Rhinolophus ferrumequinum: one gene and its partners. The protein of the gene in region 4 interacts with the protein of the main gene of each other region in a pairwise test. Links are inferred from orthologs where the notes say so. Each region holds a gene or a part of one and is shown on either strand. Other genes may lie near its edges.

Region 1 (6,829 bases), on a different chromosome or scaffold from region 4:
ACTTCATTCCAGGAAATTATATTTCGGGGAAGACTCGGTGGCCCCCAATCAGAGTTCATGCATTCAGAAACCAGAACGATAAAGGCTCCGAAATAAGACAGCTGTGTCTTAATTATTCTCTTATGCAATTGGTGATCTGGATGGCAAAGCCTCCTGAAATACGTTTCTTTCTAAATAATAATAAAAGGATTCCAAAGGAGACGGCATTTATCATAGAGGCTTCCTGAGTCATCCACTTGATCAGCTTCCTCTGAGACTACAGATGAACTTTCTAATCATCAAAATTAAACAGAGATACAATGATAGCTTTCTGGATTAACAGCAGATAGGAAATACAGTGGCCCTGTATAGATGAATGGTGTACAGATTGTATCTGTAAGTGGTTTGTGGTGATTCAAGTGAACTATTTCACACCCTCACTCAGCCAATGGTCTGGACTGCTAACGAAAAACAATGACATGAGCTTCTGTACAAACTGTGATGACAGCAATGGCTGGGAGAGATGACCTGAAGGTATGGCTCTCTTATCCTGACCGGAAGCCTTTAGAAAGGCTGGGAGCTGCGGCCAGAAAACCTGATTCTCACGAAATCAGGCAAAAATAAATGTCTGCTGGTACTATTCTTCAGGCATTTAGAGAAACACCAGAAACATACACACAGGCACCCCCTACACACACACACACACACACACACACACTGCATTCTGACGTGTGTCACAGTGTCAGTGTATCCACTGTGCCACTCAGAGCATCACATCCCCTTCAAGAGGGGGTTGCCTTCCACAGCATAAAATCCACCTCCGTCTCTGCATATGGCACCATGATGCTGATTTAGTCACTTCTAAGGACTTGTTATGGCTGCCACCATTCCCTTGGATCTCCCCTTTTCAGAGCAGGACCGTTTTTCCCTTCTGGAAGAGCCAGCCAGGCAGATGCTGAGAACTCCTGCATTTATCCTATATACTTGTCCTTTCCGTGGCAAGAATAACCTCCCACTCAAAGTCACTGAATTCTTTCCTAAGTTGTACCTAAATGGGCAAACCAATGTTATGATCTAGAAGGAAGAAACATTATTTAAAAATAATAATGAATAAAGAAACTGTGAGAACACTACAGACCTACAGCTCTCCTTGTTAGGTGATGCTATTCCAATTGATTAATAAATAACATGAAAGAAATGAATATAGGATGTCAAAGATCAACTCATAGTAATACTTAGATTAAATTCAATTGAGGCTTTGCAGCTATAGAAATGCTCAGTAGGATACTCTTCTGGTGGGTAACTACACACACACACACACACACACACACACAGACACACACACACGGCGCTCACAGCAAAGGGCACAGAAATGGAAAAGCAGATGAATCCTCTAATATCTTACCAATAGGTTTTTGGGAAATGTTTCCTGGCACAATTTACTTAATGAGAAATGGACCAAAATAATATTTAAAAGAATAAAGCAATTTGTTTCCAAAATATTCAAACAACACACCAAAAAAAAAAAAAAGGCTGTTCTCAACAAGACTTGCAACAGAAAATACAGCTAAAAACATTTTCTGGAGGCAACCAACTTGAACCCCAATTCCCTAAATGTTCTAAACAGAGTCTCGGCATTTTATGAATACATGTCTTCCTACCACACATGGTACTGACATGGAGATTCTTTGGAGAAGGAGGTCCCCTCTGCACACTTGTAAAGGAAGTTTAGTGGACCACAAGCACACATAGTTAACTCTTGAAGGCACTCCATCAGAAAACAGATAAAAGGACTATAATCACTGCTAACTCCTCATCCAGAAGGACAGGAATCCCAGGACTGGAGGATTCTCATCTGCATGACAAAATCCTTCTAACGCTGCCAGCCACATCCACAGCCCCTGTCCAGTGAGGAAAAGCCACATGTCACCTACCCCCAAGGCAATCCTGAGCTGTTCCCCAAACCCAGGAATCAACTGAGGTGGCAGCTTTCCTAGTATAAATCAGGAAAAGAAGACAGGGAAGGTCCAAGGGAAACACCCAGGGATAGAGAGACGCACAATGAAAGATTCTGAAATGTACACAGAATGGAAAATAAACACAGAATCCCTCAGCAAGACCATTAAGGGAGATTGGAGGAGGGAAAGGAAAAAAAAAAAAGCCTTTACACATAGCAACAAAGACAGCACCCTAAACAGCTCTTCTTCACAGCATTGCCTAAGAATGTGGAGGCAGATTCTGGGGCTGACACGCTCCAGAAACCCAAAGGCTCCCATTCCAAAAGCAACTGAATATAGCACCAGCCAGACAAACTTAAGAAAACAAAAAGACTGAGCATACACACACATACGTATGTGGGTTTTTCTTTCTCTCTCTCTCTCTCTCTCTCTCTCTCTCTCTCTCTCTCTCTCTCTCTTTTTTCCCCCTCCCTATTAAAGCCGCTAAATTAAAACTCCAAGCACACGCCTGCCTCCACACAGCTCCAAACTCAGCATCAAAGGGTTTAGCTCCAGATCACCACGGGTCGGTCACTGGCGCGAGAAAGACCGGAGTCAGGAGCAGGCGGTTTGCAATTTTAAACTCCCAGTACCCAAGCTCGGCGGAAGCAGGCGTTCAAAGTAGTCACAGAGGTGCAAAAACAGCTGGGCGCGGGGTACCAGGGATCCTCGGAAGACTAGGGGCTGCGATGCACCCCTCCCATCCAAACCTACGAGTCCCCTCCCCGGTCCCCTCCAAGGTACCAAAGCGATGCAGGTCCACGGGAAAGCCGCGTGCCTTACCTGCTGTAAGTACATAAAAGTCAAGGCACACGAGAGCTGGGGACACATGCCCACGTTGGGGAGCGCCACGCAGGTGGCCCCCGTCAGAGGATGCTGCATTTTGTCTCTCTGGCGCCCGCCGAGCACGAGTGGGGACGCTCGCATGCAATCACGCCGTTCTTTGCCTGGTCGCTACAATTTTTTTTTTCCCTTTTTAATTTTGCTGATTATCTAAGTCAAACCCCGGTGGCTGTCTCTCTCTGCTCTTCTCTCTCTCTCTCTCTCTCTCTCACCCTCCCTCCCCACCCCACCCCCCCACAGCACCCCGTGTCCCTCCCTCCCTCCCTCACTCCCTCCCTCGCTTTCCTTCTTCCCTTTGGGTTTGCTAGATCCCAGCATTCATCTGCCTCCAACAACTAAGACACTTGAGAGGGGCAGGAAACTATTTTGTTTCTTTCATGGCTTTATTGGGGTGTGTGTGTGTGTGTCTGTGTGAGTGTGGTTGTTGGGCCTGCTTTGTGATGTCTCTTAAAGTGGCAGGTGCCCCCGCCCTCCAGACCCCCAGCCCCAGAAGATGACAGGAACAAGCAAAAGCAACTTCAGTGAAAGGTAGAGGGGGTGGATGCCCTTCTGTAGATGCTGAGTTGGGGGGTTGACAGAGCTAAGGGCCAGGTGGGGGGGAACGGAGAAGGGGGGGTAGAGAGAGAGGGAGAGAGAGAGAGAGATTTGACTCACACCGAGGCTCACTCCGTTGGTCCAGATGCTGCGTGCCTTCTCATTTGTCAAATGGGTCCAGGGCAGGGTTGGGTTTTTTTTTTTCCTTTTTCCCTCCCCTCTGCCTTTTTTTTTTTTTTTAAACGACTCACCAAAATTCAAATTGTGTTTGCTAAAAATCTCCGTGGGGCGGGCGAGGCAGCCAGCGAGCGAGCGCCCCACATCGCCAGTATCCAGACGAGCCGGACAATTCACGCGATCGCCCAGCTGGGACCCAGAGTCTTAGATTTCGGTGGCGATTTGTTTGCCCGACTCATCCGCAAATCAACCCACAAATGGGATTCCCCCTCGTAAAGTGCTGCGAGGACACTAGGGGCCGGGGGCGCGGGGAGCGGGGGCTGCTGGCGCACGAGGTAGGGTGGTTTCTGGGGCCCCCACCCCCTGGCAGGGCGGCCGCGGCAGCGATGCACCCCCAAGCATTTGGGGCGCAGCTTTTCCTGCGCGCCTCGCCGCAGCTGGGCGGGCAGCAGCCGGCACACCAACCAGCCCGGAGCCGCCGAGCGGGAGAAACCGCCCTGGATGGCGTGGAAATCAAGCCTGTTGGACTAACTAACGTGCCAGCCCGGGGTGAATGCAAGGGGGGCTTCTCGCAGCCTAGAATCCCACTCTTCTCAAATTATAAATGCACAGGGTGGTAAGTCCGCGTCTGATAAGAGACTACTCTGTGGGCTGCAGCGGGCAAATGACATGGTTTATTTATTTCATTTTTTTCTTGCCTGTCCAGCCCTCCTCGGCCAAATCAGCATGCTGCTCCTGCAGAGCGGTCCCCACTCCCCTTTATTTTATGAAGTAATAATTATTCATTAGTAGATTTCCTTAGTCTTTTGGCAATAAAATAGGATGTGATCTGCAAATCAAAAGAAAATATTAAGACTCTACCACGTCCTGGGTCCCCACAGGAAAAAAAAAAAAAAAAGCACGTCCCTGGCGGCCGTCAAGCCATGATCAGGGATAATGCCATATTTTGTGATATAGATTTTGACCCAGTGAACGGATTTTCGTTTGCTTTTTCAGAGCTAGAGGCTGTCTGAACAGCCTTTGATTGTTAGGTTCCTTGCGAGAAGTCTCCCTGCGGGCTTTCCAAAGGCCTGTAGGACAGAGATGCCCTAAAAGTGCGGGGACCCTCAGGAAAGAGCGTTTAGGGCAGGACTGGGGAATGGCCACAGGGCAGCCCAGCTGACCCCTTCCTGTGTCTTACTGGGACATTCAGCCAAATGACAGCTTCTGAACTGAGCCATCAGCTCGCAAGGCACTTTGCAGGCTAATCAAAATGCCTTCTGAAGGAAAGGAAATTCATGATTCCGCAGCTCCATTTTCTGTTTTTCTGTTTGCAAACGTCATCAACAACTATAAAGTCTTCACTCTGCCAAACACTAGGCCCCAAAAAGGCAGTTTCCTTCTACTTCCTCCCCTTGCAAACAGTCCCTCCAACACGATGGGACTCACGCATCCTGTCCATTTAGAAGGAGCACAGTAGCACATTTAAGCCCAAGCGAAAGTTGAGATGGGGGTTAGGGGAGTACAGGCTGGTATTTTATGCTGGTTCTTTTTTGGGGGGCTGGCAGTAGTTAGTTTGAAAAATCCTTGCTATATATGTTGTCTCAGACATCACATTCAGCAGACAAGGTCTGGTTTGCGGATAAAATGTTTCTCTTTTTTTCTTTCTTTCCTTTCTGTCTTTCATTATTTGCTTTTGTTTTTCATTTTTTGTTTTTCTCATTTTGCAATTCACAAAACCAAAGTGAAAGGCACTCCACAAAACACAGATGGAATAAACGGTCAATCCTTGCTCTCCCTTTCCCATTCTTTCCTTTTGCCTCCAACAACTCGTTGTACTGACTGGGGTTTGCCCTGCTTTCCTTTATTGTTTTTCTCACTGGCATTGGGAAAGCCTGCAAATGCCCCCAAAAGAGGACAGAATTTTCCTTTCATTCAGCTCATTTTCACGAGAAACACAATAAATAATACATGGCACTTTAATAAGACCTTATCTGAATGGCTTGATGAAAAACAAATACATTATGTAAGGAGCCAATAACTGTTCTCGACTGCCCTGAGCCAAACCTGGTTTTTCCAGTCCGTTTTCTCCCCAAACTTTTAAACCCTCAGTGGTGACTGGATTCCTACAGACCCATTTTGCAATAAGGGTTCAGACTTTCGCTTCAATGTAAGTGTTCACAGTCGGATGCCTTGGAAGTCTGCAAAGTGAGACAACGGAATCCAGACCTTGTAAATGAATCTCCAACCGGTTCCGGGCCAGCCTCCATTCTCTACAGAGCCAAGTCCGAACATCCCTGCCCAAGTGCATGCAAGCACGATTATGCAGAGACAAGTACACACCCCATGCACAGGGCAACTGCAAACAGTGGCTAATATCAGTGGGCCTTAATCATTGGATGACCCCAGACCAAGTGGTAACGCCATATCTGTGACTATTGTTTACTTGATGACAGGACTCTGCCAGCCTTTGCAGCATCTGGGGATGCTGAACTTGAATTCCACCTCAACAGAGACTGAGGAAGAGCCACATCAATGTTACCAGCTCCCAAACGATTCTCCTACATAGGTAAATGGGAGGAGTGGGGGTGGGGAAGTACCCTCCTCTCTCTACAAGAATCCCTGGGCACTCAGCCGCTTGAGTGTCTACATCACATGCACGTTCAAGGACCACCGTCCTGACTTTCAGCTACCAGGACCCTTCATTGCATGGTGCACATACCCTGCAGGGAGCAGAGACAGTGCCAGGGAGCCTGCAGTCAGCAATGCCACCTCCAAATGATACTTCCTTAGGCCACTGCCCCAGTTTTAATTTGATCCACACAACAGTACTTGTAATGTTTCCTTCACTCAAATTCGCCAGTTATTCAAATGAATAGAGGAAATCGTAGTTGTTTTTTTTTCTCTCCCTCTCTTAATTCCTTAGTATGACTTCCTAAGGCTGTCCAAAAGGCAGACATTTAGAGAAAGGAAGGTTTTCTCTGGGAGTTGCCAAGCCTCAGTGCAAGAGAAACTCCAGGGAGACGGGAGGAAAGGATTTCTTACTCCGGGACAGTGTCAAGGAGTCGCTTACAAATAAGCTGCTCTCACTTCCTCATTTTCATATAGGCAGCTACATAGTCTCAAGCTTCAGAAAAGGGAGACTAAAAGTATCAGGAGAAAACGTCATTATTTACTGTCTCTATCACAAGCTCTTTGAGTCACCTACTTGTTGGAACACTTAGACGATATGTGGTTGGCGCTGATTGCATTCCGGGCACTGCTGGGTCCCCAGGGCAGTATCAGTGCGGGGAGGCGAAGACGCCTGACACCACAGAGCT
Region 2 (7,110 bases), on a different chromosome or scaffold from region 4:
TGTTTACAAACCAAAGAGTCAATTTATAGAACATCAATCTCATCATAGCAAGATGGACAGAGATAGTCATAAAATGAGAAAGAATGAGCGAACGATGTCACCTTAAGTAAACTGATTTTCAATGACTTCTACCCTTTGCAGTCATGCAGTCATCTTGAAATGGAGCTAATCACTTTCTAAGCCTTTTCTATGTATTCGATCCAGGACCCCCAAGACATTAGGTACGATCATCTTTCTATTTTCAGTGGGGGACCTGGCAGAGGCACATGCTAGATTTTTGTGATTCTCATCCCACTAGGCTTGGCAAGGATGGCAGAGAAGAATGGAATGAGGGAGTGGGCAGGAGAATTTCCCCAGTCTGTACAGTATTATCTGGAAGCAGGGAGACGAGGAGGTTAGAAGGTGAGTGTGATTCTCTGGAAGAGAGTAGAAACGAATGATGAAACTTCAGTGGTTTCGTTAGATTGTGCAATTCACCAAGATGCCTAGTGGCTATTCAGGGAACCACATGAAATGCAGGAAAAACTCCTGCTGTCATCCTGCCAGGATCATACCACACACCGAGAGATAAGGAAGTACAGAAACAGGAAAACACTGGGGCATACCTCTGATTTATTCTCCATTGAAAGAGGGCTAAGAGGACCAACTAAAACACCCACGATGCAAATTATAGGTGCCTTGGCATTTTAAAAGGGAGGGGGGAAATCTCCCAGAACCCAGAAACTCTTAAGCCAAAATGTCACAGTAATATTTTATCATCTGACTAATGTGTATTCATGCCAGGTGGCACACAGCAGCATTCCAAATAAGAAGTCTGACCTTTTAGGAACGATAAAATGGCATCTCCCCCAAACAAACATGCACAAGCAATTCCTTGCAGCACTGTTTCTTATAGCAGATGTTGAGCCCACAGGCTCTGTTTGTGCGACGAGAACTCCCCGGAGATGACAGCCAGACGCAGGCACTCACCAGCTTGTAAACCGCTCTGCAGGGCCAAGAGTTTCTGCTGCTGCTGATCAATTAGGTTTGTTAGTGCTTTCACATGCTTCAAGGTGAGTTCAAGAACCACTGCTTTCTCCAAGTGACCCAAAGTCTGGAATCAAAAGAGCCTCCGTCAGCAATGAGCTCAGACAAGTCCCACCTCTCAGACACTTATTAGCAATGAGAAATGTCTCTAAAGGAAAAAAAAAAAAAAGAACTAGCCTTTCCTGGCTAGCTAAATGTAATTTAAAATTTATAGATTATATATATATGTATATATATGTATATATATATACACACACACACATATATATCGGATTAAAGAATAAAAAAATGAGTGCCACCTATCTTTGGAGGCATTTTAGAAGCAGCGGCTACCTCAGGAAAAAATCTTTGATAGATAAATTTCTCCAGCAGTGGCTGCTGACCTTAACTCGGGAATCAAGTGAACATTTCTCTGCAGTGGTGTCAGCCGAGGAGGGATTTCTACTGTGTCTTACAGCCAAGAGGTTTTCCCTCGTTTCTTTCCTGACACCCGTTCATAACTCCCAACTCATCCAGTCTTTTTTTTTCCTCCTCAAATACTATTTTTTTTTCCTTTCCCCAACCAAAGTCTGCCAAGTTAGTAAGCTGTAGGCTACTCCCAAGAAAGGACAGGATGTAAAAATCACACACCAAAACAAGTCCTATTACTTAAAAAAAAAAAAAAAAGGAGAAAAAGGGGTAAATAAGATCTGTGTGTTGCTTGGTTTGCTCAAGTCAGGAAAACTCGAGAACCCTGAAAATCACCACACGGGAAAATCTAAAACTCTGGAAAAAGAAGGCCAGCTGGTGTTGGAGGCAACTTGGAGAAGTCCAAGCGGTTCTCACCTCCTCTGCGTGAGGCTGCCAGAAAATCCCAGGGCTGGGGAAGGGTACCCCCAAATAGAGCCACCCGGGCTCCGATCCAGCTCTCTACTCGGCAGTTCCCTGAGGGGCCTGCAGTTCCCGGCTGGGCCTGCAGGCGGCGAGTGACCCCCGCCCGCCCTCTGGGCTGAGGAGCCAGCCTGGAGAGCCGCCAGCTTCTCACTTACTGTAAGTTTGAGATGTTCGGGTAGGAGATCCTTCAGCTGGGCGATGCACTCGTTAATCCGGTCACGTCTCTTTTTCTCGATGAGCCGGTGCGGCAGTTTGTATGTCTCCTGCAAGGCGCACGGGCAGGCAGTGGGCACCAAAGGAAGGGGGTGAGAAGCCCCTCTCCTTCCCACCCCGGTGCGCGAGAAGAGTCGGGGCAGCGTAGCAGAGTCACACCCAGAACCGCCTCTTGCCCCCTTTTCTCCAAGCCACTCGGTAGAAGCGCCGAGCCCGCACCACGCATACCCCTCCAGCCTCAGAGTGAGAAAACTTTTCTTGGAAACTCAGCGCATGCTAGGGGCTGGGGTCCCCAGGGGCGCGGGGCTCTTACCTTGCTGTCCTCGCTCCGCTTTATTCCTCGCCTCGACTTGTACACTTGGTACATGTGGGCGAAATCCATCCTGCAGGGAGAGGGGCCAGGAAGGGTCGTGAGTTTGTGTGAGCCCGGGTTGCAGAGCCTGGCGGGCAGGAACCCCCGGATGCGCCCAGAGCTGCTCCAAGTAGAGCGCCGAGCAGAACGCGGGGCTGGAGTTGAGGCTTGAGGGGCCAGGGGTGCCCACTTACCCTGGTAGGTCTCCAGGTTCCAGTCCTGGCGCCTTGGGCAGGCAGGCGGGGGGCGGCTGCGCGCTGGGGATCCGCTCCATGGCACGGCGAACCGGGGCCACAACGCGCTCCTGTCTGCAGGAGATCGTCGGGTGAGGACTGTCCTGGAGGGGGCCTCGGAGCTCTCTCCGCAAGGTTTCCTCTGAATCTGAGCTCCCTGAAATCCGCTGGCTGCCGGGAGCTGCGGCTACGAAATGCTGCTGCTTCAGTTGGGGGCGTGCATGGTGTCCCCGCGGCCTCTGGCTCCGACTCTGCGCACAGCCTGGCGGTGTGTGCTCCCTGTGCCGTCTGCGCCGTGAGAGCCAAGTGAATGAGAAGTGGGGCGGGCGGGGAGGCGGGAGGGAAGCGCGGGGGGGCAGTGAGGGCGGGGAGCCGTGGAGTAATGGAGAGGCTGCGGGCTGGGTTAAATGGGAGCGAGTGGGTGGGTTGGAGCTACGTGTTCTACCCTGTGACTCCAGGCACGTCTGGCCGCTGCCGGGGAGGGAAGGAGCGACCTGCCCGCCCTCCCCCGGCTTCATCACATGAGTCTCACGTGTTGGACAGCGCTCCCGCGGCGGCGAGGGGCCCCCACCCCCAGTCCCGGCCCCCAGGTGTCTGCGGTGCGGCTGCCTTTCCCCGAAGAGGGGGTGGCGGCGCGGCCTGGGTCCTGCCCAGCCGGGTGAGGGGCGCGGAAGCTGGAAGGGGAGCCGGGGGGGAGGTGTGTGGTAACGTGGGCGAACCTGCCCCAGGGAAATGAAGTAAGTTCCCGTCTCCTGGGAGGGGACGGGGGAGGACGGATCCGCCCGCGTCTGACTCAAGCTGGGAGAGGAATATCCCCTCGCTCGCTCCAGCCCAGCCCTCTTCCTCCTCCCCCGCCTGGCCGCTCGCAGGAACCCGCGCGCTGCAGAGGGAGTCGCCCGGCCCCATGCCTTCCCCAGAGGCTGGGGTTTCTTTCCGTCTCAGCTTCCCTGCCCCCACCCCGCTGCCCCGCGTCCAGGAATTGCCCGCCGTGGGGAGGGGCCGAGGGGCGGGGCGGATGTCACCCCATGGGAAGCCGGCTGGTGGCCAAGCGCAGGGGCAGCCGAGGCCGCCGGCGTGCACGCTGCGCGCACCTGACCGCGGAGCGTGTGCGCCGCGGTCCCTGGCTCCCACGAGCTCCGCTGGCGGGCGTAGCCTGCAGGCCGCGGGCACCCACGTGCGCACCCCCCGGGTGCCCCCCACCCACTTCACTAGTCAAGCACAAAAAGACACCCGGCGCGGCTCCCTTCCTTTCCTCCCTCCTCTGCCCCCTCGGGAGCAAGGCTCCCGGGCCGCCTCCCCTCCGGCTGCAGAGTTACACAACCGCGCCGGTGACGCCTGCCCTGCAGCGGCCGGAGCGGGACGCTTCACGTGGCTAGGGCTCGGGCCGCAACGTCGCGGGCTGCACGGCCCTGTGCGCGGCTGGGAGACCGAACCCCAGGACTCGGTGTGCCCGCCGGGTCGGCCAAGTCTTATGCCTGCCAGGAACTTGGCGGCGCTGTGTGCGGTCTGCGCGCAGAACCGGAGGGGGGAGAGGCGAGAAGCCTGCCCGTCACCGTGAATCGTAGCATTTACACGCGTCGTTGAGCGAGCCCCCTACTCTGTGCCCGGCGTTGTACCCGTTGTACAGAAACTGGGGGCATCAAACACAGATTCTGCCCCTGAATTTACAGGGAATTTACAGGAACCGCTGCGAAGAGGACAGATTGGGCAACGAGGGGAAGGCAGCCTGGGAAAATTATATCGGGGCCACTGGCTGGTAGAGAAAATAATTTCTCCCCTCCCCCCGTTTTTTCTTGCGGCGTTGTGGTTTTGTTTTATAATTTTATTTCATACGAACTGAGATGCCTGGGTAGAGGAGGAGTGGAGAAGCCCGGGGTCCAAACGCCCCCTCCACGCGCCCCAGGTCTCTGCCATCCTCCGTAGGCCGCTCGCCGAGGCCCCCACCTCGTCACCTCCCCCGGAAAAGTCCGGTCTCTGTGACCTTCTCACTCGACCTGGAGCAGGGAGAACCGCTCAAAGGCCAAGGCAGCGGCGCGAGTCCCGCTGATGCAGTCGGAGGAGGGAGCCAGTGGAAATTCATGACTAAAATAAGGCCCGGCGGGGATTTCACTGACCTCTGCGCTGCCCTGCCCCGCCGCCCGCCCGGGACTTGAGAGATGACTGTCAGCCTTTCCCCCGCCTGGGTCAGTCACCCCGCCGCCGAGTGACCTGGCTGTGGGAAAGACTGCAAAAGGGGGGGGGGTCACTGCTGGGCTGGGTCCAGATGCGCCTCGGGTGCGCCGGGGGGAGCGGGGAGGATGTCGGTCTTAATTGGCAATGACCTTGACAATCCAGAGAACTGGGCTTCACACGTTGACCAAACTGGGAGTGGATTTCCTTCAGGCCGCTTTGGAGAGCTCCCACTTCCTGTTTATGTTTCACGAGCGTCAGGCTCATTAACAAGTGTGAGAAATGCCTGCTTTTCTAACTGCTGACTGGCATGACCTCACTTGGGGGCTCAGCGATCCCTCCCTCCCTCTCGGAATGTACTTCTGCTGGCTTTTGTTATCAGCCATCTCTCTGGAGGGAATGACTGCACCGCCACTTCCTGCCAGGAGGTGGGCAGCAGAACCACAGGCCAAGGAGGCGACTGGAGTCTGTCCTGCGTTTGTGCTTTCAATCTAGGGTGACCTGCTCTGTTGTGCGACCTTAATAAGGATGAAGAGTTGTCATGACTGCGTCAGAACCACAATTCCACCAGGAAATAAGCACAGCGGGGAGGAAGGAACACATGTCCCCCTCAGCTGTCCCCTGCTTCCCCCACGACCGCCCCCCCCACGCCAGGAGTGAACCCACAATTCTCTGCTTCCGTGGTTCAGGGCTCTGACAATTTTCTTAGAATTCGTTGAAGTTATCAATATTTCTTGCCCTTACTTGATCTACAATTGAAATAACAAAATATATGCATTTCCTACTTTTTATTTGTTTCAGCTGTACTCTCAAGCTTCAAGAATTATCCTCACTCTAACGAAGTTCTACCATACCCAGATTTTATTATTTTTTAATCTGTTTTCTTCTATCAATAGCTTATGATTTTTTTTTTAACTTTTATTTTTTAAGTGTGTTTTTCCAGGACCCAACAGCTCCAAGACTAGTAGTTGTTTCAATCTAGTTGTGGAGGGCGCTGCTCACAGTGGCCCATGTAGGGATCCAACCAGCAACCTTGTTGTTAAGAGCACAGCTCTCTAACCAGTCTGAGCTATCTGGTCGTCCTATGATTATTTTTTATCAAACAAAACAATTCCTTCCCAGCATGCATCTTTCCATCCTGAAGAAGCTCAGTATTTCAGTTTGTCATCCTATATAGATATTTGTTTAGTGCTTATTGTGTGCTAGTTTTTAGACTGTATATACAAACTTTGTACATGTTAATCCATTTACTCCTCACTACCACCTTATAAAGCTCATTTTCACATCTATAGCACACATACTGATTGAGAACCACTGTGTGCCAGGTACTGAACTAAGTCCTAGGAATATAGAATGTGTTCCCTTGGGCAAATTGAGGCTTGGGGCCGATAAATAACCTGCCCCAGGTTATACAGCCTGGAATTAGAATTGGAATTGACCCCAGGTTTGTTGGGCTTCAAAGCTTGTGCTTTTAATTACTACACTCAAGGCTGCCTGATAGAGTTGTGTGGGTTGTGCACTGCTCAACTCCAGGGGGAGCCGTTCACATTGCAGAGCACCCTCTAGAGTTGTGCAATGTAGTACTGACCAGCTGCACTGGGTAATCCTGACATTTTATAGCCCTCTCTCTGTTTTGTCTCTTCCAAGTGTAGAGAGAACATAATTTTGTACAAGGCAAGGACCGATTTTTCTTTTCTTTCCTTGTGGGGCTCAGCGTTTTGGTTGGTTATGCTGTGTGTTGGGCAGTCTATACCGTTACTCTCACAGCCCCCTGAGTGTACTCACACTTCTCTTGCTCAGATATAATTTTTTGCCTATTTATGGAACTTCAAAAAATTTTTTTAACCCCTTAATTTCCTAAAGATTTTGTTAATGGACTCAGAGAATGTAGCTCATTCGGTATACCTGATCTAACATTGTTATGATAATCCTTGTTATGATTTCATCCCTTTTTAGAATTTGCTGAAATGGCTTATACTGGTTAAATTAGCAAATGCTAAGGAAGATTTATTGATTATGAAACAGGGTTCTTTAGAGGATTTTAAAGCATTGCAAAATATTTTGGATTTTAAGCTATTGCTAGTAGTAATGTGGTGAACTTCTTTTTAAAATAATTTTTTATAAATAACACTGTGTATCCTAATGCATTTATCCCAGCTGTTAGAATTCATGGGGATGCTTTCTATGTATAGTTCTAAAATATTTTATTTTGACATAGCTTTAGAGAATTTGATTTCAAAGTCA
Region 3 (6,970 bases), on a different chromosome or scaffold from region 4:
ATGGACCCAAAACCGTTTGGTATTATTAATACAAAGAAGTACAGTTCCTGTCTCCTAGAAGCTTAGTCTCACTAGGGAAACAAGAATAACAAAACAATTAAGGGACAATATACATGATGCATGAACAAGCATTGGATATAAAGGATACAAGAGGGTCTGACTGGTGTGAATCAACTGGTGTTACTCCCAATTATACCTCAAATTTTAAGCTCCCCAGAAAGCCTTCCTTGACCATTTCAGCAGGAATGACCATCTCCGTCTTCTGGACTGAGTGGCACAAATCCTCTAAACCATGCAATGAATGCCTTTTGGCATGCATCTACCCTGTGGTATCTCTACTCCTATTTCTCTAAACTTACAAAAAAAAATCATATATATATATATATGTGTGTGTGTGTATATAAATATATATACACACACACACATATACACTTTTTACAACTTTTCACCCATTTTGTCTCCCTACCTAGATTGTAAGCACCAAACACTTTAAGGTCAGGGAACTTGACATATATTTTAGAAGGTAACTTAGAAATCATCATGTATGAACACTTTATTTTACAACTAAGGAAATAGAGGCCCAAAAAGAAGGGATTTTCCCAGAACCATACAGCTAGTTGAAGGCAGGGGACTAAATCAATGATGATATGAATACCTGTGTGACATGGTATGTTGGAAGTCCAACAATGAGAATGCATAAAGTGAAAAATAAATAAAGATCCACAAATACACAGAGTGCAAAAAACATTCTCTGTGGGATGGTTCTAAGTCGCCCATCTGTACCCAAAGGACCTAATCCACTCCTTCCTCTGCATACCCCAGAGTCCCTATACACTGTTCCACTTCCAAATATTACTGTCCTTAGCCAATTTGAAGGCAACCAGCAAATAATGGGCCCCAGGAGGAAAGGTGGGGGAAAGGGAAGAGTCTCGCTGTTAACTATGATTGACAAAACAATAAATGAATACCGACAGACACAGATACATGCTCACACCACGCAGAAAACGCTCAGCAGCACTCATCCAGTCTTCCCTCCTTCCCATCCAGTACTAACCCACCTCACCTGAAGTCTCCCCATATTCCTTTATATATATTTTTCCCATGGCCCTGAGCTTTCACTTCTCACAATCCCTCTGCCTGACAGAGTTCTAAAGGAGAACAAAAGCAAGCAAACAAAACAAAAGAATTCAAAAATAAACACCACAGAGGATCACTGTACCCAAGTCAACAGAAGTAAGAGTGGCCTCTGCAAAGGAGACCAAGAAGCACACAGTAAACACGCCAGGCTTAACTACAGCTCCGTCTCTAACACAGGAAGTCAGGCAGAGCCTTGAAAAGCAGGAGCAGAGCACAGGAAGTCTCTTAGCACTGCAGAGATTTCCAAGAGTGGTGTAATGGAGAGAGCACAGGAATAGGAATTAGAAGAGTAGGCTTCCAGCTCTAGTTTTACTACCGAGCTCACTGGGTGGCCTTGGGCAAGTCACTAGTCTTCTCGTGACTTTTGAGTCCCCATCTATAAAATGAGATGGTTAAAACATTTGGGAACTTGAATCCAATCCAGAAAAAGAAAAAAAGAAATTATTGACTTCCCCCCCTAAAAAGTGCAGGTAAACTATTTTGCACAAGTCTTCCAAGTCTACCCAGGTTTAGAACCCCTGGAAAAGATGACGTCGCTGGTCCCTTCTAACATTCTATGATTCTAAGAGAATTAGGCAGATGTCTAAACAACTGCTGGTACATTAGCACCCACCCCCAGCCACCACCACCACCACCACCACCACCATTTCATAGCAAGTATTTTCTGAACAAAGACCAAATCCTAAAACTAAAGCTTATCAAGATTTCACATTCTTCCTCAAATTACAAAGTCAACTGACATCATTGCTCCATTTCCCATTCCTTACCCACATCAATCAGCTCATCCTTGACTCCACAACTCAGAATCCAGGCTTCTAACAGCCCTATACCTGTTCTTTCATACCCCAAAACATTACAGAGCTAGTCGGTGCCCTAGCTATGGAAGAGGCCACTGGCAAAGTCCAGGAGGGACATGCCCTGCGTCTCTCTTCAGACTCATTAGCATGTTTCACAAAGTTAATGCGACGGAGCACCACGGTGTCCCCACAAGACTACCACACGCCGCGTACTTCTCACATTCCTGGTGGAACTGATTTAACCCACAATCGAAGCCACATCCCCTCTGGGCTCTCGAGGAGTTTTCTGGCCTTTGATTCCTCTCTTTTATTATGTGCCACTCCCCTTCCCCATCCCAGTGTGTGTCCCCGGCTGCCAAAAGGTACTCCTCCTCGGGAGGTGTCCCACCACTGTCCCCTCGTCCTCGACTCAGTCCAGCGGCTCTCTGGGCTGCAGACCCAGGATCTCCCGGCTTTCACTCCACCCCAAGGAACTAAGGAAGGGTTGGAAGAAATGGAATCCATCTCAACCATGTTCGATTTCCCCCCGAAACCCATCCACGCGTCGTGTCCCCTTGTGCCCTCAATAATCAGGACCCTCGTGGGCACGCCAGGGTCCCCCGGCACACTTCGCCTCCAAGCCGGGGCTCGCCCCACCTTCCAAACAGGCCACGACCGGCCCCCTCCCACTTCCAAGCCAAGACCCCGAGGCCCTCCCCTTTCCAAGCCCCGGGAGCCCCGGGCCGCCCCCCGGGACCCGCGCCGCACCCCCGCCGTAACCGGGCGCCCGTCCCGCGCGGTCACCTGCATCCCGCCGCCGCCGCCGCCGTCGGCCGCCGCCTCCTCGGTGCGCGGCCGCTTGCTCAGGCCGGGCTCGGCTCCGTCTCCTCCCCCACCGGGCACCGGCAGCTCCAGCTCCGACTCCCGCTTCATCCCCCGGGCAGCGGCGCCGGGCCCGAGCTGCGATGGCTGTTGCGGCTGGGTGCCTTCCGCCATCCGCCCGCGCCCCCCTCGCCTCCGGGAGCCGGGCGACCCGCGACAGGCCACCTCCCCCTGGGCCTCGGCCCCGACAGTCGCGACAGGCGGGCGCGCGCCTGCCCCCGCCCCCGCGTGCGTGCGTGCGTGCGCGCGCGCGAGCGCGCGGGCCCGGCGCTCCTCTGCGACTGGCGATCGGCGTCCTCGCTCGCGCGGTCCTCGGCTGTGGGAGGCTGGCGGGTCGCGACGGGCACTGGCTCGCGCCCCCACGCGCACACGCGACCCACGGCCTGGCCCGCCGCGCGCCCCGCCTCACACTCACGGAGCTCGCCCGCCGGCCCGCGCCCGCTCCCTCACACTGTCCCTCACAACACGCCGGGCCGAGGGAGGAAAGGGGCGGTCCGGGCTCCCGAGCCTTGGGGAGGGGTGTTTATTTGGGGGGAGGAGGGGCTCGAGGCCGGAACGAGCTGACTGGCCGGGATCCTCCGACCCGCCACTGTGGCAGCACCGGGAAGGCGGGGAGAGAGAAAGGAGGAGGGAGGGACCGGGATCTGGGACTCCAGCCCGCGCGGGAGGCTGTGGCGGGGGTGGGGCGGGGAGGGCGTGGCGGGGGTGGGGGCCGAGCCTGCGGAGGGGGCGTGGCCAGCTCCCCTCGGCAATCTCCGCCGCCTCCTCTCCTGGCGCCCGAGGGAGGCCGGGGAGAGAGCAGGACAGTTCGGGAGTCTCCGCCAGCGGCGAGGGATTGTCCTGGAGGCACCGTGCGGCTGGATTTCCAGCTAGCGCGGAGGGGGCGGAGTCTGTTTCCTCTAGGGGCGGGGCCATAGCCTAGGACAGGCGGAGCTTGAGAGGCCCGAGGGCCCCGTGAGTTCCCGACTAGGGAACCGGCACTCTGTGGGAGGGGGCGTTTAGCCTGCTCCCTCTCCCGCGGAAGAATGAGGATCTCGATTTGGAAGGTCCAGGAATGAAATCACCACTACATGGCTCTCCCCAATTCTAAAAGCTTTGACTCTAATAATAATAATTATCCCATTCCTGATCATCTTAATAATAACACCTGATGTTTGTAAGAGCTTGCACAATGCAGTTTGCACAATGCGTTCACAGACCCGTTTTGAAGCGATGGTATGAGCAGAGTAGATACCAGGAACTCCTTTACGTTGATGATGAACGTGAAGCTTCGTTAAGTCCTGGAGCTAAACAGTGGCAGATCCAGCTCTCAGGACATCAGATCATCTTTTCTCTACGCCTTGCTGCCTGTGTAACACTTTGTTAATTTCAACTTTCTGCAATTAGAGATGCTGTGCAACAGCTTCTTTCTCCTACCAGTCTGTAAGGACCAAAAGGGCATCTATTTTCTCTGGGTTCCATATTGTGCCCTGTACGTTACAGGGATATAGTTATGTTGCATGCATGACTTGGATTCTACAAACGAGCTTCATCTCTTTGGACCCCTGACCATCATTTGTAAAATGGGGAGATAGTTTAGATCAGCGGTTGGCAACCAGGGGCAATTCTGTCCTTTCCCCTCTCCTCCAGGGCATTTGTCAACTGTCTGGAGACATTGTGGGTCATTACAACTGAGGGGTGCCACTGGCATCTAGTGGATAGAGACCAGGGATATTGTTCACCATGCTTTGATGAACAGGACAGTCCTCACAACAGTTATCCACCCCAACATGTCAACAGTACTGAGATTGAGAAACCCTGAGTTACATGATTTCTAAGGTCATTTCCAGATGGGTCTAGGAGTTGTCCTTTGACTTGGGTTTAACCCGCTGAAACAGTACAATGGTAAAGATCCTTGCTTTGGAATCAGACCAACCAAGGTTTGAGTCCAAGCTTTCCCATCTACCACCCATGTGATGTTGGACCAGTGATCATTTAAGAAGTTCTATATAGAAGGGGAACAGGGCCTGCAGACTGTTTGGAAGGGAAGACTGAAGGACTTGTCCTGAAGCTGAGTTTTCCTAGCTCATTGTTTTTTACCTAGTCTGTGTCCTAGATCAATAAAAATAGCCAAGTTTTGGCTCTGCCCCTGAACCAGTCATGATGCCGTGTGAAAGCTACCTAGCCTGTCTATGCTTTAGTTTCTTCATCTGAAAATCAGGATAATAATACTACCTTCCTGAAAGGGTTCTTGTGAGGATTCAATGAATTATCACACATTAAGAACTTCGAACAGATTGGCCAATGATAAACACTTAATAAATGTTAGCTATTATTATTGTTATTACCATTATTTTATTCACATCTTAAATGTGAGCAAGAAAAATATTCTTATCAAGATCAAAGGATATCATTATCACTACTACTGGTTTTTTTTTCCAATTACATAAAGTGGGGGGTGGGGGCCTGCTAGAGATTAAGATGGGCTGACAAATCACCCCAAGTCACCCCTTAGTGCAACAGCTATATTAGGCAAGTCATTTATTTTCACTAAACCTTACATTCCTTGTTTGTAAGATGACAATACTAGTTACAGTGTTGTTCTAAGGATTAAATGAGACAAAATAAAGAACAACAATGTAAATAAATTAGGTGATAAATATTGACCAGAGCACGGCGTCGAACTGCTTAATAAGTGGTCAATATTTATCACCTAATTTGTTCAGTGATGCTAAGCCGCTGGTCAGGGGTTCATGCGGCTGGAAAGAGAAGCCCAGGCAGCTTCTACTACTGCCATTCGGGCCATCAAGTTGGAAGTCCAAGTGCCTGAAAGGTTGTACTTGAGCTAAATTAGTCCCAACCTACGGCAGGGATCTCCAGTTGGCAGTGCCCCCTGGGCAGATAGGCCTTAATCCTGTGCAACCAAGCATGCGCATTATAGCTCTAAAGAAAAATCAGGATGTTTCTTGGTGGTCTATGGAACAACAATGGCTTCTTTTGTCTAACCTAGGGACGTCAGTGGTTGGTTTTCTGAAATTTTTACTTATTAAGCTGGTGTCTTGAAAATTCTTCTCCCCTCCCTACCTGCCTTGCCAAAATACTAGAATTTAAATGACTCTAGGTCCTTCCTGGGCTGCTCCACGACCCAGCAAGAAATGAGATTTGGTATCAGGGCTGCTTGTGACTCAAATTATTGTAAGTCAAGTAGCACACATTTCCCTGAGAAATAGAGCGATGTGGTACAGGAATGTTTGAATGACCAGGCAGAACAAAGAGAAATTGAACCTTGTCCTGTAAACAAGCATTAAGCTTTTAGAGAGAGCTTGCGAATAGAAGCCTATAAATAGTAGAAGAGGCCAAATGAGCCTATAGTGACACAAAGACCAGGATCGTTTCTTTCATGTACATCTGCAGCCACCTCTGTGGGAGCAGGTGGTTATAAAATATTACAGAGGAAGAAAACAATTAAAGAATATTTTCCTAGAAAGAATTTTTAGCTGCAGAAATTATTGAAGTCCTAATGTTTATTTATTTATCCACTTGACAAACTATGGGCAAAAGTCTGGGATATCAAAAAGAATAAAATTGATTCCTGGTACTGAGGAGCTCAGTCTGGGAAAGAAAGGATGAACAAATAAAAAGACAAATACACACCAGAAACTAATATAAAATATTGAATGTCAACTGTAATTGAAAAATTAAATACACAGAGAGTGCCAAAAAAATGTATACACATTTTAAGAAAGGAAAACTGTATTAAAATTATTCTACTCAATATATACCAATAACAAAAGATGAATACAAATTACGTTTGATTTCTGCAACTACAAGGGTGCTCAAAGTGGTTCCCATCGGCATCCAGACACTTCTGCATTACGGCAAACTACTGCCTGAGCAATGTCGACCAAAGTGTCCACTTGTATACACTTTTTTTGGGCACCCCAAGGTTGTGTATGTGTGTGTTTTAAGAATTACAATGCACCATGAGAAGGAGGCATCTCTCATAGCGGTTAAGAACATGGACTCTGGTATCACACATGGGTTTGAGTATGACTTGGCCATATATTTGACCTTGTACAAGATCCTTACCACCTCTTAGACCCAGTTTCTTCATTTGTGTGGCAAGCACTGGTAGTTCCCAACCCTTATATCCTCTTATTCCTAATCAGCAGAACCCCCATTTTATTCAGGGAAGA
Region 4 (7,708 bases):
CCAGATTATGTTTTGTAAAATAATAAAATAAAATAGTCTATATATTTTCTATTTGTTATTAATAAACAGAAAGACAGATAGAAAGAAAGAACCAGGCCAGGAATGAGTATCTTACAGACCCTAACTCCATGAATTCCACCACCATTTAGCAAGTTACTATCCACCTCTGAGTCTTGTTTTTATCAGTAAAATGACAATGATAATACTGACCTCAGAGGGTGGTTTTTAACACTAGGTGGCCAACTATATTTAAAAGCTTGTCTGTTACACACAAGCACTGAATTCATTTCCATTTACCATACCAAGTATTTATGGGCAACATATAATGAACACACAGTGATAAGAGCAATGAGAGAGGTAAGTAAATATGCTGTAGGATAGCACACAGTGTGCCACAAAGAAACAGACTGAGGATGGAGGTAGATACATGTCTTCTTACTGGGGCTGGTAACTCACTCTTCACCTAAATGGTAGCAAGAAGCTAACTAGGAAAAAGAGAATATGAGGAAATTATGTGGGTGGATTAGATTAGTTGATTATGCAGAGTGTTGCTTAACACTATGCAGAAAAGTGACTGTGGAGGAGTGGGGAGTGCAGGAAGCAAAGTGAACAACAAATGCAGAGACACTGGCATAGACATATCCTGTTTTCCCATTAATATCTGTATAGTTCATGCCCTCACTTCCTTTAGGTTTCTGCTCAAATGTCACCTTACCAGGAGGCCTTCCTGACCATCCTACCTAAAATAGGACAGCCCCTCCCCATCACAACCTATTACATATTTAATATATATTCATTTATTGTCTGTCTCTCAGCTATAGTTTGAAAACTTTGTTTTCAGGGGTCAATCCAAGAAGAGGATTTAACAATCATAAATATCTACACATCCAATATAGGATCACCTAAATATATAAAGCTAATGTTAATGGGCATAAAGGGAGAAATTCACAGTAATACAATACAGCAGGGGATTTTAATACCTCACCCATATGAATGGTAGATCGTCCAGACAGAAAATTAATAAGGAAATAATGGCCTTAAATGTCCCATTAGGCAAGATCAACTTAATAAACATTTACAGAACATTTCATCCAAAAAGTGCAGGATACAGATTTTTCAAGGGCCCATTCTCCAGGATAGATCATATATTAAGCCACAAAACAAACCTCAATAAATTAAAGACTGAAATCTTTTCTGACCACAATCGCATGAAGCTAGAAATAAATTGTAAAGGAAGAAAACTGGAAACACACACACAAATATGTAGAGACTAAACAACATGCTACTAAACAACCAATAGGTCAAAGAGAAAATAAAACCAGGAAATCAAAAACTACCTTGAAACAAATGAAAACAAAACTTTCCCAAATTTATGGGGTATTTTTGTTTTTATTTTCCACTGTTGTAGCCTCAATGCTTAGAACACTGTCTGACACATAAAAGTTATTCAATAAAAAAATTACTGAATGAATAGATGGATGCATGCACAGTGGGTTGCAGCCAATGTGATGATATCTAAAACTGTATAATTATGACTTCAATAGAGAATAAAGAGACATCAGCAATACCCTTTGAAAAAGTTCCTAAGTGTTTTGGCGTCATAAAATCTCTGCCTCATTGTTTATTCTAAAGGAATTGAAAACTATACCTGGCCTAGAAAAAAGAATCACCTCTTATTTTGGCAAACATAACACACTAGTTAGAAGAGGAGGAATAAATGCTTGTTCAAGGAGATTCTTGGTTCAATTCTCCTTTAGAGCCTGAAAAAACCCTGAACATCATTATAAATTTAATGATCATTTCCCTTCTCTTGGGTAAAGAATTGAAATAATAAACTGTGATTATTAACTAGGGTTCTCATCAGATAAATTACACATGGTTAAGGAAACAGAAAAATACATTTCACATTGCAACAAATGGGGAAAAAAGACAGCTCACAATGCAACAAAACAGATAATACTTGCAAAACTCTTGGGGAAAAAAATACTTGAAAACTCTTCCAGTTTGCTGTTCAATGTTACTACCAGAGACCAGAAAAGGATTTGCATAATAAACCCGACTCATGAAATAATACATGTGTAATTGGATGTCATATCTGTCAACCTTTTTGCTCTATGAGAGGTTATAAAAGGGGTGGGAAATCTTCCATCTTCTAAAGCTGACACCAGGTTTTAGGCAAAACACGCTATGTTTGCAATACCATAAAAATTTGGGGATTCAGTTCTATGCCAAAATTTTACATTTTTTTTAAAAAGTCATGACTAGACAACTGAAACCAGTGCAATATCTGATGTGTGTTTTTTTAGAGTAAAAATATAAATAAAAGGACGTAATAATTTGAACACCTCCCCTTTGTCTCTTAGGGCTCTAAAATCTGTTTCTTTGCGTATTTTTTAAAAGAAAATACTCTTGACCTTGAAATTGAAATCACACCCAATTTCTACAGTATGTAATTCACTTACCTCTGCAGGGCAGATTCAGGAGAGACCAGAAGCCTTCAATGGGATAAAATACTGGGTCAGAAGGGGAAAAAGGGAAGACTGTAGGTTCAGAGTGGGGGAAGGGGGTTGCAAAAGTTCTGAGGCTTAAAGGGGACTGAGTAGAAGGTAGGAGTAAGAGATAGGAAAAATCTGTGGTACAGGGAATGAACTAGGCTCAGAAAGATCTGGAAGAGGATCCAGGATAAAGAGGAGATGTGAAGAGTGACGAGGGATAAAAGTACCACAAAAGTCAGAAGAGGGAGGGGATAACGGCCTGCCATCTCCGGAGGATTAAGAGAGGAGATAGTGAGACAATCAGAACCACAACCATCAGGAATATCCTCCATACTGTGGGGATGAATTCTTCTTTCCACCCCATGTTGAAGCAAGGAGGAAAGCTTCCTTGGCATGTTTGAGCATTCACTGTGAGAATTACCAGTCCCTTTCTTTACACTCACCTTGATGAAGAAAGCCAGCGACGCGTCTACTGTATGACCGGAAGTGGTATTTTCTTTTGTTTGGCGGAAGCTTTAGCTTCTGCTGCCACCCACCCAACCCCCACCCCTCACCCTTCACCCCTCACCCCCCACCCCCACCCCCGCACTTTCACTCCAGGCAGCTTCCTGTGCCTCTCTAGCAAGCTCTTGCAAGACTTTATCTCATTGGTTCTCTCACCAGATCAGAACCTGGATAGAGATGTAAACCGGCTGGAAATCAGTCAACTTTTTTCAAATCCTAGCACTCTGCAGTATCTCTGTCAAACCCCACCTATCCAATCTGTCACCTGTCCTTGTGATTCAGCTTTTTAAATACCTCCCGTGCCTTTAGTCCCTTAATTCTTGAATGTCTGCAGTTTCATATTTACCATACCGGGTCACTGTTTTCTGGCATACCATTTTAGGAAATAAAGTTAATTTTTATTAGTAGCATACTTTGATTTCAACTTTTTGAAAAAAAAATCTTAAATCTGAATCATTTTTGTCTTGGAATGGTATCCAAAGAGTTACATGCCAGACTCAAAATTCCAAATAAATAAATGGGAACTCATTTAGAAAACATTCTTGGATACTTCCACACCCCCCACCAAAGGAAAAAAAATGAAGAAAATGACAGCTTAAAAAAAGTTTCAGTACAATAATGAGAATAATCCTTTCTCTGGTTAAAAGTTCAATATTGAATTACGTGCTGCCACTACCTACAAAAACCAATTCTGCTCAAAATCAGGACTCCAGTCCTTCTCTTTTGTGGTTATTTTTGATACAGGCCAAGATTTCTTTCCTAAGAGACTTTAAGTTTCCTTCTTATTTTTTTTTTAAATTAAAGTTTATTGGGGTGACAATTGTTAGTAAAGTTACATAGATTTCAAGTGTACAATTCTGTATTACATAATCTATAAATCCCATTGTGTGTCCACCACCCACATTCAGTTCTCCTTCCATCACCATATATTTGATCCCCTTTACCCTCATCTAACACCCCCCTCCCCCCTTACCCTCTGGTAACCACTAAACTATTGTCTGTGTCTATTGAGTTATTGTTTCTCATTTGTTTGTCTTGTTCTTTTGTTGTTTTTGGTTTATATACCACATATCAGTGAAATCATATGCTTCTTTGCTTTTTCTGTCTGACTTATTTCGCTTAGCATTATACACTCAGGATCCATCCATGTTGTCACAAATGGTCCTATTTCATCTTTTCTTACCACGGAATAGTATTCCATTGTGTGTATATATACCACCACTATTTTATCCATTCATCTATCGAAGGACATTTTGGTTATTTCCGTTTCTTGGCCACCGTAAATAAAGATGCCATGAACATTGGCTGCACCAGTCTGCATTCACACCAACAGTGTATGAGGGTTCCTTTTTCTCCACAGCCTCTCCAACACTTGTTACTATTTCTCTTCTTGATGATAGCCATTCTGACTGGGGTGAGGTGATATCTCATTGTGGTTTTTATTTGCATTTCTCTGATGATTAGTGATGTTGAGCATTTTTTCATATGTCTATTTGCCATTTGTATGTCCTCTCTGGAGAGATGTCTCTTCAGGTCCTCTGGCCATTTTTCAATTGGGTTGTTTGTTTTTTTGTTGTGAATTGCATGAGTTCCTTGTATATTTTTGATATTAGCCCCTTATCGGAGGCACTGTTTGCAAAAATCATCTCCCATTCAGTTGGTTGCCTCTTTATTTTGTCAATGGTTGCTTTTGCTGTGCAGAAGCTTTTAAGTTTGATATAGTCCCATTCACTTATTTAACTTTTACTTTCTTGCCTTTGGACTCAAATTCATAAAATACTCTTTGAACCGAAGATCCGTAAGTTTAGTATCTATGTTTTCTTCAGTGCAGTTGATTGTTTCAGGTCTTATGCTTAAGTCTTTGATCCATTTTGAATTAATTTTGGTACATGGTGACAGATAACAGTCCAGTTTCATTCTTTTACACGTGGCTTTCCAATTCCGCAAGCACCATTTATTGAAGAGGCTGTGTTTTCTCCATTGTATGTTTTTTACTTCTTTGTCATAAATTATCTGTCCGTATTTATGTGGTTTATTTCTGGGTTCTCAATTCTATTCCATTGGTCTATGTGTCTGTTTTTCTGCCAATACCATGCTGTTTTGATTACTGTTGCCCTGTAGTACAAGCTAAAGTCGTGGAGTGTAACACCTTCAGCATTGTTCTTTTTCTTAAGATTCCTTTGGCTATTTGGGGTCTTTTGTGGTTCCAAACAAATCTGAAGATTTTTTGTTTTATTTCTTTAAAAAATGTCATTGGGATTTTTATGGGGATCACATGAAATCTGTATATTGCTTTGGGTATTATGGCCATTTTAACTATGTTGATTCTTCCAATCCATGAGCACGCAATGTCTTTCCATTTCTTTGTGTGTTCTTCAATTTCTTTAAAAATGTTTTATGGTTTACAGCATATAGATCTTTCACATCCTTGGTTCAGTTTATTCCTAGGTATTTTATTCTTTTTGCTGCAATTCCAAAAGAAATTTTTTTAACTTATTTTTCTGAGATTTCATTGTTAGTATATAGGAATGCAATGGACTTTTGTACGTTGATTTTGTAGCCAGCAACTTTACTGTATTCGTTGATTGTTTCTAATAGCTTTTTGGTGGAGTCTTTAGGGTTTTCTATATATAGCACCATGTCATCTGCAAAGAGTGACAATTTAACTTCTTCATTCCCAATTTGGATGCCTTTTATTTCTTTCTCTTGCCTGATTGCTCTAGCAAGGACTTCCAACACTATGTTGAAAAGCAGAGGTGATAGGGGACAGCCCTGTCGTGTTCCTGAACGTAGAGCAATGGGCTTCAGTTTTTCAGTGTTAATTATGAGATTAACTGAGGGTTTGTCACATATGGCCTTTATTCGTTAATGTTTTTTCCTTCTATACCTATTTTATTAAGTGTTTTAATCATAAATGGATGTTGTATCTTGTCAAATTTTTTTTCTGCATCAATTGATATAATCATATGATTTTTTAAAATTAAAGTTTATTGGGATGACAATTGTTAGTAAAGTTACATAATAGTTTAGTGGTTGCCAGAGGGTAAGAGGGGAGGGGAGTGGTAGATGAGGGTAAAGCGGTCAAATATATGGTGAAGGAAGGAGAACTGACTCTGGGTGGTGAACACACAATGGGATTTATAGATGATGTAATGCAGAATTGTACACCTGAAGTCTATGTAATTGTACTAAAAATTGTCACCCCAATAAATTAAAAAACAAAACAAAAAAAAACCAAAAACAACAAATAAAAGAAAATATGTTGTTTAATCTCCATGTTTTTGTGTTTTTTCCTGCTTTCTTTTTGCAGTTGACATCCAATTTCAAAGCCTTGTGATCAGAGAATATGCTTGGTATGATTTCAATCTTCTTAAATTTGCTGAGGCTAGTTTTATGTCCCAATATATGGTCCATCCTTGAGAATGTTCCATGTACACTAGAAAAAAACGTATAATCTGATGTTTTAGGGTGAAGTACTCTATATATGTCAATTATGTCTATTTGATCTAATGTGCCATTTTAGGACTGCTATTTTGTTATTTATTTTCTGTTTGGATGATCTATCCATAGCTGTCAATGATGTATTTAGGTCCCCCAGTATAATTGTGTCTTGGTCAATTTCTCCCTTTATTTCTGTTAGTAGTTGTTTGGTATATTTCAGTGCTCCCTGATTGGGGGCATAAATATTGATGACTGTTATGTCTTCTTGTTGTGTAATCCCCTTTACCATTATGAAATGTTCATCTTTGTCTCTTGTTACCTTTTTCACCTCGAAGTCTGTTTCATCTGATATAACTTTAGCTACACCTGATGTTCTCTGGATACCATTTGCTTGGAGTGTCAAGTTCCACTGTTTCACTTTGAGTCTACACTTGTCCTTGTACGTGAGATGTGTCTCTTGGAGACAGCATATGGTTGGGCTTAGTTTTGTGATCCAATCTGCTATTTTGTGGCTTTTTATTTGTGAGTTCAGTCCATTTACATTTAGGGTGATTATTGATATGTGAGGATTTCCTATTATTTTACCTTCAGTTTTCTGGTAAGAATGTTTCTCCATTGTTTCTTCGCTTTTTTATTGTTGTCTTTTATTTCTGTGTGGTGATATTCTATGATGCTTCCCTCTGTTTCTTCTTTTATTACAGTATATATTATAGTTCTGGATTTTTTTTGAGTGGTTACCCTTAAATTTATGTAAAAGAAAGTTTGATATTTAGAGTATTCCACTTTCTTCAGCATGCATACTTTCTCCATTCCCATGTTCCAGTTCAGGCCTTTACTCTCCCCCTTTTCATGTTTTGGTTGGCACACGTTGTCCCTGTTGATGGTGGTCGAATAGCCTTCTTTAGTATTTCTTGCAGTGCAGATTGTATATTAGAAAACTCCCTCAGCTTCTGTATGCCTGGAAAGTTCTGTATTCCTCCTTCATATCTAAAGGATATCTTTGCTGGGTATATTATTCTTGGCTCATAATTTCTCTCTTTCAATAGTTTGAATATTTGGTTCCACTTCCTTCTGGCTTGTAGAGTTTCTGCTGAACAATCTGATGATATGCTAATGAGGTTGCCTTTGTAGGTTACCGTCTTCTTCTCCCTGGCTGCTTCGAGGATTCTTTCTTTGTCGTTGATTTTTGACAGCTTCAATACAATATGTGTTGGAAAAGGTCTGTTGTGGTTGAGATAATTAGGTGTTCTATTTGCTTTTTGGATTCG

Evidence for each region.
Region 1: the proteins of MAGED1 (region 4) and RBFOX1 interact in a two-hybrid assay, tested with the Homo sapiens proteins (2 studies listed by BioGRID and IntAct). The link is inferred for Rhinolophus ferrumequinum from reciprocal best matches to the Homo sapiens genes MAGED1 and RBFOX1.
Region 2: the proteins of MAGED1 (region 4) and BHLHE40 interact in binary tests that used the Homo sapiens proteins (3 or more experiments, as listed by UniProt). The two-hybrid records come from large-scale screens. The link is inferred for Rhinolophus ferrumequinum from reciprocal best matches to the Homo sapiens genes MAGED1 and BHLHE40.
Region 3: the proteins of MAGED1 (region 4) and RBFOX2 interact in binary tests that used the Homo sapiens proteins (3 or more experiments, as listed by UniProt). The two-hybrid records come from large-scale screens. The link is inferred for Rhinolophus ferrumequinum from reciprocal best matches to the Homo sapiens genes MAGED1 and RBFOX2.

The regions. Positions count from the first base shown.
Region 1 is NW_022680357.1:7,883,614-7,890,442, reverse strand, and holds the start of RBFOX1 (RNA binding protein fox-1 homolog 1), read right to left. Parts: upstream 3,001-6,829; 5' UTR 2,904-3,000; coding exon 2,760-2,903; intron 1-2,759. UniProt on the Homo sapiens protein: RNA-binding protein that regulates alternative splicing events by binding to 5'-UGCAUGU-3' elements. Regulates alternative splicing of tissue-specific exons and of differentially spliced exons during erythropoiesis.
Region 2 is NC_046300.1:4,920,327-4,927,436, reverse strand, and holds the start of BHLHE40 (class E basic helix-loop-helix protein 40), read right to left. Parts: upstream 3,005-7,110; 5' UTR 2,739-3,004; coding exon 2,659-2,738; intron 2,496-2,658; coding exon 2,426-2,495; intron 2,163-2,425; coding exon 2,055-2,162; intron 1,094-2,054; coding exon 970-1,093; intron 1-969. UniProt on the Homo sapiens protein: Transcriptional repressor involved in the regulation of the circadian rhythm by negatively regulating the activity of the clock genes and clock-controlled genes.
Region 3 is NC_046293.1:10,469,433-10,476,402, reverse strand, and holds the start of RBFOX2 (RNA binding protein fox-1 homolog 2), read right to left. Parts: upstream 3,002-6,970; 5' UTR 2,910-3,001; coding exon 2,718-2,909; intron 1-2,717. UniProt on the Homo sapiens protein: RNA-binding protein that regulates alternative splicing events by binding to 5'-UGCAUGU-3' elements. Prevents binding of U2AF2 to the 3'-splice site.
Region 4 is NC_046284.1:83,519,911-83,527,618, forward strand, and holds the start of MAGED1 (melanoma-associated antigen D1), read right to left. Parts: upstream 3,010-7,708; 5' UTR 2,939-3,009; intron 1-2,938. UniProt on the Homo sapiens protein: Involved in the apoptotic response after nerve growth factor (NGF) binding in neuronal cells. Inhibits cell cycle progression, and facilitates NGFR-mediated apoptosis. May act as a regulator of the function of DLX family members.